2 linked regions of the Drosophila melanogaster genome follow. The gene in region 2 interacts genetically with the main gene of each other region. Each region holds a gene or a part of one and is shown on either strand. Other genes may lie near its edges. The genes, in order: Vap33 and ppk30.

The links.
Region 1: of ppk30 (region 2) and Vap33, changing one suppresses a phenotype caused by changing the other (phenotypic suppression), as found in Drosophila melanogaster (one study listed by BioGRID).

The regions. Positions count from the first base shown.
Region 1 is NC_004354.4:3,946,652-3,950,574, reverse strand, and holds the start of Vap33 (VAMP-associated protein 33kDa), read right to left. Parts: upstream 1,601-3,923; 5' UTR 1,203-1,600; intron 1,095-1,202; 5' UTR 926-1,094; coding exon 862-925; intron 1-861. Other genes in the region: Gem4c (gemin 4c), read right to left, coding at 2,472-2,926, 2,986-3,923.
Region 2 is NT_033777.3:29,667,061-29,670,983, reverse strand, and holds the start of ppk30 (pickpocket 30), read right to left. Parts: upstream 1,836-3,923; 5' UTR 1,827-1,835; coding exon 1,711-1,826; intron 1,607-1,710; coding exon 1,042-1,606; intron 978-1,041; coding exon 828-977; intron 775-827; coding exon 576-774; intron 514-575; coding exon 277-513; intron 219-276; coding exon 112-218; 3' UTR 1-111. Other genes in the region: ppk20 (pickpocket 20), read left to right, coding at 2,107-3,012, 3,059-3,344, 3,430-3,477, 3,536-3,680, 3,743-3,849, 3,899-3,923.

The sequences.
Region 1 (3,923 bases), on a different chromosome or scaffold from region 2:
AGAATGGGGCTAAGGCTCACTCACACATACACAGATATTAAAATATTTGCGCACAATGGAAGCGATAGCAAAATACTTGAAAAGTTAACTCAATTTTTTTCAATAAGACAAAATACAAATGGTGAATGGTTATTGGTGTATTATTCTAGATCGCAATCAACAATGATTGGTCATTTAAGTAGACATTTCGTTCTGCAATTGAGACTGTGATAAAATTTCGCGAAAAAAATTAAATGTTTATGCACTGGAAAATGCAGCTTGGCAACAGGAGTTCAATAACAATGCGATGACAACCGTGCCACTTGTCGCACCCACTGTGCGAGCTCTTTGCATTGTTTTTGTCACTGCTGCTGTTGCTTTTTGGCCAAAATTCAAGGAGCCAAAAGACAAGAAAAAATTAAAATGGCCCATGACAAGTTTTTGCGTATAAAAATATAATGCTAGCCAAAAACGCGAAACGAGTGAGCAAGAGGGAGAGGGATGGCGAGTGCAAGTGAGAAAGAGAGCGACGCCAGCTGCCGGCATCAAAAAATAAAATACATTAAAGAGCTGAAGCAAAAAAAAAAAAAAGAAAAAAAACGGAAAGAAGCAGAGCGATGATACACGTAGACCCCGAAAAGAACAACAATAAAAGGTGTCGTATGTAAAGGAAGAACAAAAACAACGGAAATTATTGATAGCCAATCGAGCGAGATGGCAATAGAAAGCGTAGAGGGAGGGAGATTAAATGTGCGCGTGAGAGAGAGAAAAAGTGAAACTTGCAGTTTGCTCTTTGCAAGAAATGGGAGGTGAATCGGCTTTTTTGGTCGATATGCAGCGACCTTTCCGCAAAAACGCGAAAATAATGTAAAATAAACTTACCCACAAAACGCAACTCATGTTCTGGTTCAATGGTCAACGGAAGATCAAAGAGTGATTTGCTCATTGTGGCGGCTGGCTTTTGTTGTTGTTGTTGCTGCTGCTCCTGGTGTTGTTCTTGTCGTTGTTGCTGCCGAGAATTTCACTCTCTCCGCTTTTCGCCTCTTATCGTTTTAATTTTATTTTTTGTGCGTCCTGTTTTTGCCCAGCTATTTGTTGTTCTTGCTGGCTGTTTGCTGTTAAGAAAATGCACACAAAATTATATTAAAATGCAGACGCACGCATAGATACGAGACACAGGCACACAACTAAATTAAAAGAGGGATTTCAAATTTTTCGCTTACGTTTGCGTTTTTTAGCCAAATATATCAAGAAAACTGCTGCTGTTTTTATGCCTGTTTCGTTTTACTTTACTCGTCTCTCTTTTTTTCTTTCGTTTTTCGTTCGTTTCGCTCTCACAGGCGAAATATCGGTAAATTTATGCGACCACACACACACGCATGGACAAAAAAAAAGCAAGAGCCAGAGAAACTCACGCACGCACGGGCTTTTTGCAGAAAATTTCGGGAAAAAAACACAACGATCAACGTGCGACTTCTTCACCGACTTTAGGTCGCTTTTCTGTCGATATTTTCGATTTCAGTGGTTTACCACGCTTCGGTTTCTTCGCAAACTTCAGTTGAAAACGCAAAATGTAAAAAAGCCATATATTCTGTCAGCTAGTGATGTGAAAAAAATATCGATGCATCGGGTATCGATATTTTTAGTTTAGCGACTTTTCGATACTTGTCAAGCATTGGTCGTTAAATTACCTTGTAAAATATATATAGTGTTTTTTAAGACAAGATATTTTTTCTATTTTTTTTTATTTAGGTAATTTGAAAATGTTATTAATAACAATTTGCACCAAAATTTTCCTTTCCCTGAATAATGCCATTCAGCTTTTGACAGAATATAAATTAGTTAAATTTATAACATAACGAGTACATGAAATTTAAAAATGTATTAAAATAAATTTTCCTAGTTTTAAGTTACAATTTTGCAACAGGAAGCAAAGCAGTCGAAGTAATACATAAAAATACGAATAAAAATAAGAACATGCAAAATTACAATAATTTTAAGCTTGCCAAAGCATTTATTTAATAGAACACAAATTTGTATTTGATGGTAGTATTACATATTTTATGTAAATATAGTCGGCCTTAAGGACACACAAAGTTGTAAAATAACCTGATATCAAATTATTCTGATGTTCAATCATAGCGTTTTGTATATTATATATATAATACATAATAATACGAAAAAAAAGAACATGCAAAATTTTATTAATTTTCAGCTGAATAACTTCACTTGCTTGCCAAAGTATTTTTAGTAAGACAAAAAATTTGCATGGTAGTGGTACATTTGTTATGTGCATACAGTCGTCCTTTTAAAGGACATACAAAGTTGTAAAATAATCTGATATCAAATTATTCTGATGTTCAATCCTAGCGTTATGAATATTATATATGTTTTTAGTCATATAGAGATCTGACTGCCTAAGAATTAAAGTGTTGGACAAGCGGCGGAGTTTCGATTTGGCTTAAGAAAATTACACTTCTAACAGCATCTCCTTAACACTTGGCCGCCTGCTGTTCCTGGATATTTATGCCGAATCGCACAGCGAAGGCTTTACTAGCTAGCTTCATAATCTCGTTGCGAATGGAGAATGGAGCCTTGGCCACAACGGCCATCAAATGATCCCAATGCTGGCGCTTCGTGATGGTCTTATTGTGTTTGGCGTGGCTCCGGAAGGCGATCAAATATTCTCGAAATAGGAATCTAAAGGCCATGAAAGCGGACTCGCTGTTCACCTTGACCACTGCATCGCTAAGATCGCCCATAACAGCACAATCGGCCCTTTTTTTAAGGAGCTTTTTGAAGAGATCGTTAGCCTCCTGTGCACTGGACTGAGTTAGCAATTTGAGAAAGGAGCGTGTGTCCTTTAAGGTGTCTTCTTTAAGGTAGATGAGCCAAAAGCCCTTGTGCTTTAAACTGTTCACTTGGTTCAAGATCCTCTGGCGGCATTCTGTGAAAGAGCAATAATTAGTAGGCTTTCGTCTTGGACTTACATTTATAAGAGCGCACCAGTGCCTAGGAATGTCAGATGAGACAGACCGTCCTGCCAATACCACACCGCCAGTTCTAAATTATCCACCCGGAAATCTTCAAAGGTGGCCAAGTCCCAGCGTAGGGCATCAATGGTTTTCATGACATGCGAGATCAGCTTCCAGTGTTTCAAACGCCACTCTGGCAAGCTGGCATTCAGATATGTGTAGTGCTTGGCCACCTTGACAGCTGGTGCATCGTCTCCGTTCTCCAATTTCGGGTGCTCCTTTTCGAGTGCATTTAACTCTGCAGTGCCTCGGGTGATTAGATTGCTTTCACCCAGACTAATCTGCTTGAGCAGTTTCAAGATTAACTGCAAGCTGGGCAAGTTCATGGGCTCTATAAACTTGGCCAAACCGTAGGCACACGCGTCTAGGAACCTATTTTGCGCCTGCCTAAGCTCATCCTCTCCGTAGGGACACCGTCCGTCTTTCAAACTAACGCACAGTTGTCGCGCTGACGTGTAGAGACCGTTGAGGATCTGTCGGTGGCCATATAGGTAGAGTGTAAACTGCAAGGCATACGGCTTTTGAAGTAGTTGCTCGTTCACCAAGATGTTATCGGCACAGGCGGAAATATGAAAAGCAGCATGCTTGGGACAAGACTGAGCTATGTGCCAGAATAGCTTCGAGAAGCGAGTATGCGTCACGCCCAAGTGGGAGAAATCAATCCAGGTCTGTCTTGCGTTCTCAAAGCACAGTACTAGAAATTTGGTTATCGGGAAGCGCTTATTATAATCCAATTGATTAAAGAAGCGTATGCGACGCTCCCGATGATCGGGAGCCTTGAAATTAAATCCTTGGGTAACGTTTTGCTCATCGCGCAATAGCAGTACTTCCATCTTGTCCTCGACATTTAATTGCATAAATAAGGGACGCAGTACTAGGCTTAGCAGCTCTTCGTAATCATCGTTGGAC
Region 2 (3,923 bases):
ATCCCAAGAACCAGGTGAGTGGTGCATTTGTGTGTGCTTCGGTTACAGGTAAGTGTGGGAACGTGAGAACCCAGCTGCCGATGGCTGGTACTTCATGGTGCCAGCTTGGGCCTAGGAGCCATGGGGTATGCGACAACAGGCGAAGCGATCCAAGAGTTCGTTGATGCAACCTAGCACCGAGATGCCCATGATCAAACCGGCTATTCCTCCATAGGAAACTACAAGTGAAGGGTAGGGGGTACATGTCATCGCAGCTGTGATTGATCCCAAACTCACCCATTAAGTCGATCAGCGTGAAGCGGAGCATGGAGCGGTAAGAGAAGAGGGTCTCCTCCTGGAAGTACACATCTATCTCGATCGCTGCGGCAAGGTTGGTGTGGGCGCTCATCTTCTCCGTGTAGGTTGACGTGTGGTACTGGGTGTGACCGCACTGAGGAAAGCAACCGCAATCCACGGTGGAGAACACATTATCACGGGACTCTTCGATGATGTTGCTCATGGAAAAGAGGGAAACTAAGCGGAATTCAGTACATATATATCATATATATATGATTTAAGTTTAGAATTAGACCCACGTCGGTGCTGATTGAAGCAGGCCAGATCCTTCACACCGCAAATTCTACGTCCGTTGCTTTCCTTTGCAGCCGCAATGTTGTCCTCATCTTGAGTGGCCTTCACCGGCAGTTCCAAGGAGCAGTTGCACTTGCTGATGATGTAGTTGACGTGGCACTTGTAGATGCACTCCGACCGGGACTTTCCCGTTGGTATCTCATTCTAAGGTAAAATTAAGTTTAAGAGCTAGTATATATTTGGCTAAGGAAACCGACCTCAAAGTAACAACGACGCATTTGAACGGGACGTGCCCGGACATCCAACTCGGCTGTGAAATGAAGTGGTTCCACCGGAACCACGATGCGATCCTCTGAGGAATAGTCAATGCTCATGCCCAGCAACTGGGTCGGTTCGTGCACTATCACCTGGTGTGGTAATTACTCCATGTCATGACGCACTATCTATGTACATATGTCTTATCGGACTCACCCCCATTGTATTCAACGTATACAGACCCTGCTGCCGTTTGATCTTCACATTGAGTCCGCTATATGATCCGCATGAAGCCACGGACCAGGGCCACGTTTCATCTCTTCCCGAGGAGACCAGTGAGTTGAACTCGAAGGCGAAGCCATTGAAGGTCTTGGTGGGTCGGAATAGGTCACAGCAGTTCATCGCCTTGCGACGCCACTGGCACTCGGTGAAGAAGTGCTGGCAGTTCATCTGCAGCGCCTGGTAGATTCCCCAGCTCTGCGCGTTCCAGTTTTCCAGTTCGGAGAACTCCGTGAAGTTCTCATCCGTGAGGCGGGCGGACATCGGTGTTTGCCAGACCACGGACTGAACCAAGTTATAGGCCTTGGAGAGCTTCTCGGCTTTCAGGATGCTCAAATTGATCGGAATGATGGTCACGGCTGGGAAATCGATCTCGGATACATGCATGTCAGTCCTTTCGATGGAGGTCTGCACCCAGTAGTAGAAGTACCGCTCCGAGGAAAGAATGCTCACATACACGGTGGCCAGAGCGGCCATTATTTTAAGGGGGATTCTGGCGTATCTATAGATTAAAAAAAAACCGAATTTCATGGATTACTTTTGGAACACAAGAGATTATGCACGGCCAGAGTCATGGATATTTTTGGAGCGAAGGGTATCACTTACCGCCTGGTCGAAGCCCATCCACCTGCCCCCTCCTTCTTCAGCTTTTTTTTTGACTCCTTGTGGTCATCATCATTATCCTCGGAGGAGGGTTCTGGCTTCCAGGCGGTGGCACTCATTTCACTCAGCGGACGAACTGCGACTGTGGGAAAATCGCGCTAATTGGTAGTTCGATCCGCTAATCAATGCGCAGACAACCACTTCTGTCAGCGGGCTTATCAAATGGCAGGAAACATAACTACTCAATTACAAAGCTTGTGAGCCATAATGGATGGCCTGGCCGTCGGAACTTTGTCCCCTCACATACAATTACAAGTCACCTGGCCTTTGGAACGTGGCCTTAAAAGGGATCCCCGAATTCCGGCCAAAAGCTCAGTGATTGAGTGACTCGTCACCGGAATGGCCAAGGGAGATAATTCGGTCAAACCGACAGAGGCAGCCGGTTTTGGTGACAACGAGAGGTGCCTCGCGGATTTGTTAAAGGTCCACTTTCGGAGCTACTGCGAGAAGTCCACCATTCACTGCGTTCGCTATCTGTACGATTCCCACCTGCATAACTTGGAGAGGTTTGTGGTTTATCCTCTATTCATATCTACATTCAATTTTAAATTGTATATAATCATTGTATTTAGAATCATCTGGTCGATGCTGCTCATCATTAGCATCGGGCTGTCCTTCTTTTTCTACCTCCTGCTCTCCGAGCGATTCGTTTCCCAGAAGCTGCAGACGGTGGTCCACGATCCGCAGTTCCCCGTGTTTCTGGTGCCATTTCCGGCCGTGGGAATCTGCACGGACAACCGCATCAACTGGAACAAGCTGGAGGCGGCCAAGGAGCAGTTCCTGCCGACCAATGCCAGCGTGGAACTGGTCGAAAGTTTCACCGTCCTTGTTTCTCGGATGGAAACTTTGCGCTTTGGCAGTTACCTTTCAAGCTTGGCCGAGCTGGAGGACGATAACCTGGAGGCGGTGGGCTTTGTGAACCTAACTGAGCTGGCCATATTTATGACTCTTCAATGCTCGGATATCATGGTACCGAAATCCTGCCTGTGGCGCAGTTCCTCCTTCAATTGCTGCGAATACTTCGTGTTGGAGAAGACGGAGTTTGGATTTTGTTTGGTTTTCAACTCGGAGGTTTCGCCACGCTCCAAGGCAATTAAGCAGAAGGAGGGTAATAACTTCTATCCGAGGCACAATGCCAAAGCAGGCCAGAGTACGGGCTTGAATTTTGATCTAATCTTAAACGAGAGCTTCAGGCGACCCGATTCGCAGGCGAATAATAATGTCTACGTAAGTATCTGCCAGGCCGTAGAATATTACTAGATTAAACCATTTTCAGGTTATGATTAAGAAGCCCGACCAACTGAACAATGTCGTATATTCAATAACCCAAAACACGGAGACCTACGTGACTGTCCGTCCGGGTCTCACTTGGACGGATAACACCACGCGCAGTATCCCGCCGGAGCGCAGGAACTGCCTCTTCGCGGACGAGCAGGGCGAACTGGACGCCAACGATTCGGCCAAGAACTTTGGAAAGCCCTTCCAGCTCTCCAACTGTCTCAACCGCTGCCATGAGTCCTACCTAATTCAGCTCTGCAACTGCTCCTTGCCCATTTTCTTCCTGTACAACCACAGAGGTAAGTCTAATTACTCTTTTCTTAAAAAATATAATATGATTATGATGTGATTATTATATAATATAGTCCCAATATTTTCTTTCAGTTCCGGATTGCAACGCAGTCAGCCTGCGCTGCCTTGCGCGTCACAATGGTAGGAGATACATATAAGGGAATAAATTAATTCTGGAAATAAAACCCATCTGTTGCAGACATCTTCAGCTACGACAAGCGAAGGGACGAGGATGCCCTTTTCAGTGCCACCAAGCTGGGAATGACCTGTTCCTGCTTGGTGGACTGCTACCTGCTCGACTATTATACTTCCACCACCACACTGCCTTTGTCAGCCCATAAACTGTATGAAACTTGAATGGAACCCTTCTTTGATTTCTTGAGATATCTGAAACCATTCTTTGCAGACCCAAGGATCCGCATCAGAAACTCTTCAGGGTGGATGTGCACTACCAAGTGGAGACCACACCTTTGTATCGCACAAGCCTGGAGTTTACCATTATCGATCTAATTGGTAAGAGATTCAGCATGGCGAACCACTCATATATCTCGTATATTCGCAGCCAATCTGGGTGGAATCTTTGGACT